2 linked regions of the Saccharomyces cerevisiae S288C genome follow. The main gene of each other region encodes a partner of the protein of the gene in region 2 in a complex. Each region holds a gene or a part of one and is shown on either strand. Other genes may lie near its edges.

Evidence for each region. The genes of interacting proteins can lie anywhere in the genome.
Region 1: PRP28 (region 2) and AAR2 share a complex: the UniProt entries of both Saccharomyces cerevisiae proteins name them as parts of the U5 snRNP complex.

Annotation. Positions count from the first base shown.
Region 1 is NC_001134.8:86,222-90,654, reverse strand, and holds AAR2 (U5 snRNP complex subunit AAR2), read left to right. Parts: upstream 1-2,865; coding exon 2,866-3,933; downstream 3,934-4,433. Other genes in the region: YBL071C (uncharacterized protein), read left to right, coding at 124-432; KTI11 (Kti11p), read right to left, coding at 429-677; YBL071C-B (uncharacterized protein), read left to right, coding at 1,099-1,197; 40S ribosomal protein eS8 RPS8A, read left to right, coding at 1,530-2,132; Hsp70 family ATPase SSA3, read left to right, coding at 4,207-4,433. UniProt on the Saccharomyces cerevisiae protein: Component of the U5 snRNP complex that is required for spliceosome assembly and for pre-mRNA splicing. Involved in splicing pre-mRNA of the A1 cistron and other genes that are important for cell growth.
Region 2 is NC_001136.10:946,518-952,753, forward strand, and holds PRP28 (mRNA splicing protein PRP28), read right to left. Parts: upstream 3,768-6,236; coding exon 2,001-3,767; downstream 1-2,000. Other genes in the region: AMD2 (putative amidase), read left to right, coding at 290-1,939; PEX5 (Pex5p), read left to right, coding at 4,046-5,884. UniProt on the Saccharomyces cerevisiae protein: ATP-dependent RNA helicase involved in mRNA splicing. May destabilize the U1/5'-splice site duplex to permit an effective competition for the 5'-splice site by the U6 snRNA, resulting in the switch between U1 and U6 at the 5'-splice site.

The sequences.
Region 1 (4,433 bases), on a different chromosome or scaffold from region 2:
TGATTATAATATGTACTTTTATATATTTTCTTTATTTTTCATTATTTTGACAAAAAGCTAATTTGATAATGTCAACAGAAAAATCCCTCGCCTTTCCGGTGAAATTTGTCACAGCCATTTGAGATGATATTATTGAAATCTGAGCATGGAGGAAAAAGAAAAGAGATGCGACAAGATGATTTAATGGGTCCAAATCATTTTAGCCTACGTATCATGTATAAAATAATCATATACACCTACCCAGTATCCTTATATGCAGTAAAAGAGCTCAACCTGAGCAAAACGTTTTCCATCAGTGCACTTGGAATTTTGAATAGTAATTCCAACCGGAGTCCAGCGAAGAAGCAAACCTTCTTTTCTGCTTGCGTTGCTAAGTCATATAGCTCTTTCTTTATTTCTATTTGTATTCTCGATCTAGCCTCTCATCTTTAGGCAGCAGCGGCAATAGGCTCAGGGGGGTGGATGCCTGCCTCTTCGTAGTACTCAGCCAAGTCTTCTTTATCGAAAACTACATCGATCATCAGTGAGCAGCTGGGACAAACAGCAACTTTTTCGCCCTCAAACATGTCATCCAGATATATTTGAAACCTATCTCCACAGGGACAAGGATAGGTGAACATTTGATTTTCAGGCTCAAACGTCATATCTTCGATTTCGATTTCGTCATATGTTGACATTTCAGCTGGTAATGTATTGTACAAATGATGTGCTTACAGTCGTGGTATGTATGTGTCTTTGAAAAAAAAAAGCGATGAGAAGCTCTTTATAGCGATAATATAGGTCCTTTTTCGGATTTGTCTCCACCCATTTCTTTTTCATCTGCTCTAACTTTTGTGACTTTACATCCATACACCCTCTTTAACACCCTTACACTTTTACAAATTTTCCTTTTTCATCAACTTTAAAATTATTGCGTGAGAAGTTCCTATTTTCTGATTTTCTCAGCGGAATAACCTTTTAGAATCCTGAGCTGCGAGCAGAGCGGCCTCGCCAAACCCGTGCTGGGCCTAGTTCCCCCCTCCATGTTCGGTCCTACACACGAGCATCGCTGGGAAAGCTTGAGGGCTTTCTCTTACGCAGTGTTCATGGTGTTACGGGATGGAACTGTTTCATATACGTTATTTACAGGCCTATCTTAAAGTTATAGGAAATTACACTTGCCATTTGCTTTTTGGTACTCACAAGAAGACGTTATAAACACACCAGGACAAAAAGTATGTGCTATGGTCATATGAGTAATGGAACTACATATTATTTTGAATGCTACAGGACCTCTCTTTGAATGGAATAGATAGTGGAAAAAGTAAACTTAACTAAAAGGGATGATATAAATTGTGACAGGAGCAGTGCACTAAACTGAATCCTTTGTGTACCCAAAAAATCAAGCCTCTTATGAAACGCCGAGTTTTTCACAAGAAGAGATGAAAAGAAACCAAAGCATATTTCAAGATAAGAAAAAAATTCCGCAACTTTTGTACGTTCTTTATTTTACTAACAAGCGTCATTAAATTTTCTATTACAGTTACAAAATGGGTATTTCTCGTGATTCTCGTCACAAAAGATCCGCTACCGGTGCCAAGCGTGCTCAATTCAGAAAGAAGAGAAAGTTCGAATTAGGCCGTCAACCAGCCAACACCAAGATCGGTGCTAAGAGAATTCACTCTGTTAGAACTAGAGGTGGTAACAAGAAATACAGAGCTCTAAGAATTGAAACCGGTAACTTTTCTTGGGCTTCTGAAGGTATCTCCAAGAAGACCAGAATTGCTGGTGTTGTTTACCATCCATCCAACAATGAATTGGTTAGAACTAACACTTTGACCAAGGCTGCCATTGTCCAAATTGATGCTACTCCATTCAGACAATGGTTCGAAGCTCACTACGGTCAAACCTTGGGTAAGAAGAAGAACGTCAAGGAAGAAGAAACTGTTGCCAAGAGCAAGAACGCTGAAAGAAAGTGGGCTGCTAGAGCTGCTTCTGCCAAGATCGAATCTTCCGTTGAATCTCAATTCAGCGCCGGTAGATTATACGCTTGTATCTCTTCCAGACCAGGTCAATCCGGTAGATGTGATGGTTACATCTTGGAAGGTGAAGAATTAGCTTTCTACCTAAGAAGATTGACTGCTAAGAAATAGATGAAATGAAAATACTACCAATTTTTTCTTCTCTTCTCCTCATCTCTTCATATAGTCTTATATATCATATATGCTATTATTATGTGTGTTTAATTATCATATCATTTTACCATCTTTTTCACAGGCGGTGTCTGCTGGAAAACACACTTCATGCTCTAAATTTTTCAATTTAGCAGAGAATACGAATTTTGCATTTCAAGGTTTGCAAGGTCATAGTATATACAGAAATAAGAACGATTAGTTAAAGTCAGAGAAAAAAAGCAATATTGTTATCTGCAAAACTTCGAAAAGTTCAGTACAGGTCTGTGTTAATATATTTTTTCATCATGTTAAATTGAAACAAGAGTTTTTCTTTTACCAGCAAAAGCACCGTCTAGCCATTTCAAAAAAAAAAAAAGAAAAAGAGAAAAAAACAGTTGGGTGACCACACCTATCAATTTTTTTCACAATTGCAGCTGTGGTTACTTGTTGGCTATACGATTCAGAATGGTAAACATTTGGTATAAGATAAAACCCATGGGATGTGAAAAGGAAAAAGTAATTAGGAGGGGTTTGCGGCGCCCTTTTATAAGAACCAAGAGATGAAGAAAGGACACATCTTGAAAGCGGAAAAAATCGCGACGCACGAACACGAATATTTCAATGGTTTAGGGTTTAATGAGATGAATGGACACCAAAGATCCTCCTTATCGCTGGGACATGGGGCTAAAAAATAAAATATCGGAAGCCTGCAATGAATACTGTACCATTTACATCTGCTCCGATTGAGGTAACTATAGGGATCGATCAGTATTCCTTTAATGTCAAGGAGAATCAGCCATTTCACGGAATCAAGGACATCCCCATTGGACACGTTCATGTCATTCATTTTCAGCATGCAGATAATTCCAGCATGAGGTATGGCTACTGGTTTGACTGTAGAATGGGAAACTTTTACATTCAGTATGATCCTAAAGATGGCCTTTACAAAATGATGGAAGAAAGGGATGGCGCAAAATTCGAGAATATTGTTCACAACTTCAAGGAACGGCAGATGATGGTTTCTTATCCGAAAATTGACGAAGATGATACCTGGTACAATCTTACCGAGTTTGTGCAGATGGATAAAATCCGAAAGATAGTAAGGAAAGATGAAAACCAGTTCTCTTACGTAGATTCTTCGATGACCACAGTTCAAGAAAATGAGCTGCTAAAATCCAGCTTGCAAAAAGCAGGTTCTAAAATGGAAGCCAAGAATGAAGATGATCCTGCACATTCTTTAAACTATACAGTAATAAACTTCAAATCTAGAGAAGCCATAAGGCCTGGCCATGAAATGGAGGATTTTTTAGACAAGTCTTACTACTTGAACACTGTAATGCTACAAGGAATTTTTAAAAATTCAAGTAATTATTTTGGGGAGTTGCAGTTTGCGTTCTTAAATGCCATGTTTTTTGGTAACTACGGGTCGAGTTTGCAATGGCATGCTATGATCGAACTGATATGTTCAAGCGCTACGGTGCCTAAACATATGCTCGATAAATTAGACGAAATCTTATATTATCAGATAAAGACATTGCCTGAACAATACTCAGACATCTTGTTGAATGAACGAGTTTGGAATATTTGTCTGTATTCGTCATTTCAAAAAAACTCCCTACACAACACAGAAAAGATAATGGAAAACAAATATCCAGAATTGCTTGGTAAAGACAATGAAGACGACGCTCTTATTTACGGTATCAGTGATGAAGAAAGGGATGACGAGGATGATGAGCACAACCCTACCATTGTTGGCGGTCTCTATTACCAAAGGCCATAACGATCATCGTGCGGCGCTATCATCAAACGTATTTGACTTGATGCCTATGGAGGTTATGGGTGCCCTTAATTAGGGATCGCTGTGGAAAGTTATAGAATATTACAGAAGCAGCCACAAGGGTGACCAGAAGATGGTTAAGGGATGTATCATATTGCACAATTGGAAACGAATGGAAGGGTATATAAAGTGACTGAAATTGGTAGCATAAACATTCTTGTATGTCAATGTTTGTCACTAAACGGATAGAATAGGTACTAAACGCTACAAAGAAAAATGTCTAGAGCAGTTGGTATTGATTTGGGAACAACTTACTCGTGTGTTGCTCATTTTTCCAATGATAGGGTAGAGATAATTGCAAATGATCAAGGTAATAGGACCACTCCATCGTATGTGGCTTTCACAGACACCGAAAGATTAATTGGTGACGCCGCCAAAAATCAAGCTGCAATCAATCCTCATAATACAGTTTTTGATGCAAAGCGGTTAATTGGTCGTAAATT
Region 2 (6,236 bases):
ATTATTGAGTACCGGGAGTATTATGTGTCATAATTTGTAGTATTATCTGTGTGACGGATTAAGTTTGCTATCTCAAATGCCGCGCGCGCGAATTGCTCATGATATAATAATAGCTAATAATATGATAATATGATAATAATAGATAAGATTACTGATAACATTATTTTAGTATTCAAAAGCGTATTACATATATATAGTCGAGTAAATACTTTTTTTTCAATGGGGAGTGGAAGGGACAGCCGCTCTGACCTGTTATTAACGACAGACAACACGGTACCAAAGTTATACAATGACTGTGCACTCAACGTGGAAGGAAAAAGTTCAATTAAAAAAAGATCAACTGAACAGTAAGATAAAAGACGAATGGAAATTAAACAGCACAACTATAACGAGGTTGAAGAACGATAAAAAAAATTTAATCAAGAATATCGATGATTTATGCTCATCTTCAGAAAATCAGATCACCCACTCCACGATTATGGCCTTGAGACAGGCACTGGAAGCAAAAGAGTTAAGCTGCCATGAAATAACAGCTGCATTTTGTCATAGGGCTGCTTTAATTCATCAAGTAGTGAATTGTCTATCCGAAATCATGTTTTCAGAGGCATTGAGATTGGCTGACTATTACGACAGCAATAGACCAGCCATATTGCCACCCTTGTACGGTATACCGATATCTCTCAAAGACCAATGTAACGTTGAGGGTGTAGACACCTCACTGGGTTATTTATGTCGAACTTTCAAACCAAAAACCAAGAATGAAGAATCATTGATTGTCAGTTTTCTGAGAGATTTAGGAGCTATTATATTTGTAAAAACCACCGTACCTTCATCGATGATGGCTACAGATACACAATCTAACACCTTTGGGTACACATATAATAGTATTAATTTAAGCTTCTCCAGTGGTGGATCTTCTGGTGGAGAGGGTTCGTTAATTGGTGCTCATGGTTCCTTGCTGGGACTAGGAACTGATATAGGCGGAAGCATCAGAATTCCTAGTAGTTACCAAGGATTATTTGGTTTGAAACCAACTTTTGGACGCGTCCCTTACTTGAGGGTGGATAATTCATTTGAGGGAAGGGAAACAATTCCCAGTGTAATTGGGCCGTTGGCAAGAGATCTTTCGGATTTGAGATACTTCATGAGTTGCGTTATCAACATCTGTCAACCATGGGTACAAGACGTCAAGTGTATTCCATACCATTTTGATTCCTCTACAAGTAAATTACACGATAATTATGTTGTTGGAATATGGTATGGTGACGGCGTTATTGATCCTCCGCCCAGTGACATCAGGGCTTTAAAGACGTGCGAAGACCTAGTTAATAAAACTAAAGGAATGAAGGCAGTTAAATGGGAGCCTTCCAGTGAACTGAGCAGGGAATTGTTTGATCTCGCAAATGAAGCAGATGTTGCTGACTCAGGTAACGAGATAAAAAACGAATTCGAAATTTCCGGAGAACCACTCCTAGATATTTTAAAACCAATGGTTTTGGAAAACGGAAGGCCCCCATATACTGTTAATGAATGGTGGGATTTGACCAAAAGAGTTTATAATGCACAACAATTAATGAGAGATTATTACCTTTCTTTCCCGGAATCAGAAAGGCCTGATGTTATCATATCTCCTACAACGCTGATGCCATTTAGGCCTGGTGACATGCTAAAGACAACTTTACGATACATTTTACTATTCAACGTTTTAAATTTCCCATCATTATCTATACCTGTAGGTAGTGTCGATTGCCAAATTGATGGGCTAATGGATACCACTTCTGCGCTCAATCCAGAAGATAAAATGATCAAAACATATTGGAATGATTTAATACAATCTGGTGAGATAGATGGGTTTCCAATAGGCCTACAAGTAGTTAGCCCGACTTTCAATGACAATGAAGTTTGTAAATTTGCGTCTTGGCTTTTTAGCAAAATATAGACAATAACTTGAAAGTTGAGATCTTGGGTCCATCAAAAAAAAGAAAGAAAATAATATAACTTTAATATATAATCTCATTACTGAGCTGTTTGCCGACGTTATATTTGTTCTTTACGGCTTCGGAAAAGATATTGCTATTCAAGGGATCATGTTTCCTGACGTATTTGTAAAGTTCACGTATCAATGATTCATCTTCAGCGGCACTAACAAAGGAGACAGCAGTGCCCTCATTTGCTGCACGACCTGTTCTACCAATTCTATGGATGTAGTCATCCATTTTTTTGGAAATCTGGAAATTGACTACCAAGGAAACATTAGGGATATCCAATCCTCTTGCGGCAACGTTTGTTGCGATCATGATTTGGACTTTGTTGGTGCGAAATAATTGCAAAGAATGTTCCCTTTGCTCTTGCGATTTAGAACCATGTAAAATCGTCACCTTCATGTTGGTTTCCTTTTGAAACTTTTCTGCTAACCAATCAGCAGTTTGTTTGTAATTGATAAAAATTATTATTGGTGGATCATATTTAGCGACAATTGGCTTCAACTTTTTGAATTTGTCTTCGTCATTATCTGCATATTCCACAACCTGTTGAATCAAAGGTTCAGAACCCGTCTCAACCCCAATGGTTGCATAAACAGGCTTTTGCATGTATCCTGCTGCAATTTTTTCTATAACGGGTGTCATTGTAGCGGTAAACATCAGGGTTTGTCTATTCACAGCAGAGTCAGCATTTATATCGACTTTAGTTAAAATGTTTGTTACTTGGTCCTCAAAACCTAAATCAATCATTTTGTCAGCTTCATCTAGTACTAATGTCTCCACCTGTTTCATCACAAGTAAGTGATTTTCTAAAGAGTCAATTAAACGTCCTGGAGTGGCCACCAGGATGTCACAACCCTCCGATAGAGAAAATGAAATTTCCTCCAAGGAGTGTCCACCAACAATAGAAATTACTTTGCAGTCATAGTTGCTCTCTTTGGACCATATTTTTGTAACTTTTTGTGTTTCTTTTTGAATTTGCTGCACTAATTCCCTTGTTGGAGCTAAAATTAACGCTTTGGGGCCATCAATAATCTTCAAAGATGGTGGCCTTGGAGGTGACCTACTCATCTTGATTAGTATCGGTATTACAAAGGCCAAAGTCTTACCCGAACCTGTAGAGGCAACACCAAGAAAATCTCTATATTGTTTCATATTGCAAACGTTTGGAATAGTAATCCTTTGAATAGGAGTTGGTGAAGGAAATCGCAGCTCCTGTATAATAACACGTAACAAGTCCCTTGGTATTATATTGAGCTCTTCCCAATTTCTCAATGGATTTTCTACTGTCCCACCTTTTGTAACAATAGCGTAGTCTTCTTTTAGTATCCTCCAATCTCTCTCATTCATTTCGTGCAAGGACTTCTCAGTCCAATGCTTCCCCATATATGAAGATTCTGCAGCATTTTTAGGAGTCTTTCCCTTCCATAGCAAATCTATAGCTCTAGTTGAAACGATAGGATCATATCCGCTCAGAGTATCTTCGCTTTCATTCCAAGAAAAGTGAAATTTAGAGCCATTTTGCTTTGATGGATTTCTCTTCTTATCATTTGTTTCATTGAAAAAACTGTCATCTCTAGAGTTTACCTTTTTAATCTCCACCTTAGCGCTATCACTTTGCGTAGGCGTCAAACTCTCTTCGTTCTCCTTCAAACGTTCTTGCTTAGATCTTTCTTGTTTATTCAAAAACCTAGGCTTGCTGATTTTACCTGATGTATTTTCATCTAGTCCTTTTTTCTTGTTTATACCAGCAATCAGCTGACTAACATCGATTGGTCTTGCCATCCGTCCTGTATGTTAATTCTTCGGCTCCTATTGACCTTTTCGTTGTCAAAAATTCTATTGTCGTTGGTAATTCTCTCGATTGTAAGCTTCGAATATGTAAAAACGGATCATCGCGATTAACTCCGAATTCCTCCGACAAGTCGGTACCCTCTTCCGGCGGAGAATATATATGAACAAAATTAAGCATAAGAAAGGTTTCTGATTAATATTGATTCACCAAACAGTTTTAGTTCCTATTTTTGGATATATATACATCAATAAACAATATATCATAACACATGGACGTAGGAAGTTGCTCAGTGGGAAATAATCCGCTTGCGCAGTTGCACAAACATACTCAGCAGAACAAATCGCTTCAGTTTAATCAGAAGAATAATGGGCGTCTTAATGAGTCACCTCTACAGGGTACCAACAAGCCAGGTATTAGTGAGGCTTTTATATCCAATGTTAATGCTATTTCACAAGAAAACATGGCGAATATGCAAAGGTTCATAAACGGAGAACCACTGATCGATGATAAAAGAAGAATGGAAATAGGGCCATCCTCAGGCAGGCTTCCACCTTTTTCAAACGTACATTCTCTACAGACTTCAGCAAACCCAACCCAAATTAAGGGAGTGAACGATATATCTCATTGGTCACAGGAATTTCAAGGTAGTAATAGTATTCAAAATAGAAACGCGGATACAGGAAATTCAGAAAAGGCATGGCAGCGTGGCTCAACAACCGCATCAAGCCGGTTTCAGTACCCTAATACCATGATGAATAACTATGCTTATGCTTCTATGAACAGTCTTAGTGGATCAAGGCTCCAATCGCCTGCTTTCATGAATCAACAACAGTCTGGTCGTTCTAAAGAAGGAGTCAATGAGCAAGAACAACAACCCTGGACAGATCAGTTTGAAAAGCTGGAAAAAGAAGTCTCAGAAAACTTGGACATAAATGATGAAATAGAGAAGGAGGAAAATGTGAGTGAAGTAGAACAAAACAAACCAGAAACTGTTGAGAAGGAAGAAGGAGTATATGGAGATCAGTATCAATCTGATTTCCAAGAAGTGTGGGATAGCATACACAAGGACGCTGAAGAAGTCTTGCCATCCGAATTAGTTAATGATGACCTCAATCTAGGAGAAGACTACTTGAAATATCTCGGCGGTAGAGTAAATGGGAACATCGAGTATGCTTTTCAATCTAACAACGAATATTTTAATAATCCTAATGCTTATAAAATTGGCTGCCTACTGATGGAAAACGGAGCCAAATTGAGCGAGGCAGCGCTAGCATTTGAAGCTGCTGTTAAAGAAAAACCGGACCATGTGGATGCATGGCTAAGATTGGGTCTAGTACAAACCCAGAATGAAAAAGAGTTGAACGGCATAAGCGCCCTCGAAGAATGTTTAAAGTTAGACCCAAAGAATCTGGAGGCAATGAAAACTTTAGCGATAAGTTATATAAACGAAGGTTATGATATGAGCGCCTTCACAATGCTGGATAAATGGGCAGAAACTAAGTACCCGGAAATTTGGTCAAGGATCAAGCAACAAGATGACAAATTTCAAAAAGAGAAAGGGTTTACCCATATTGATATGAACGCTCATATCACAAAGCAATTTTTGCAACTAGCAAACAATTTAAGCACAATAGATCCTGAAATACAACTATGCTTGGGTCTCTTATTTTACACGAAAGATGATTTTGACAAAACCATAGATTGCTTTGAAAGTGCGTTGAGGGTGAATCCTAATGACGAACTCATGTGGAATAGATTAGGGGCTTCATTGGCCAATTCCAATAGATCAGAGGAAGCAATCCAAGCCTATCATAGGGCACTACAACTAAAACCTTCTTTTGTTAGAGCTCGCTATAATCTGGCGGTATCATCCATGAATATAGGCTGTTTCAAAGAAGCAGCAGGCTACTTATTAAGTGTTCTAAGTATGCATGAAGTGAACACTAATAATAAAAAAGGAGACGTTGGATCTCTCTTGAATACGTACAATGATACTGTTATAGAGACTTTGAAGAGAGTTTTTATAGCGATGAATAGAGATGATTTACTTCAAGAAGTGAAGCCAGGCATGGACCTGAAAAGATTTAAAGGAGAATTTTCGTTTTGATATGGTTCTCCGCAATTTTATGTTCTCGCATCACTGCCCAAATTCATTAGCATTAGCAGTACAAGCTATCCTATATATAAGGCAATAAAAAATCTTATAAATACTATCAGCAAGATTTCAACCTTGGAAAACATGCATTCAAAGGTCATAATTGCTGCTCTATTTACAGTCGTCCATAATGACATTTCTCTTTGATTATTTTCTTGTTTTTTCGCTCTTCTCAAGTGGATGTTACATAACAAACAAAACAGAAAAAATTGTTTAAATATAAAGTTTAAAAGTTATCTTTGATTCCGCACCTGAATTTTTGGATTGAAGGCCAAAGGAGGTTTATCAGGGAGAGAAAAGCTCT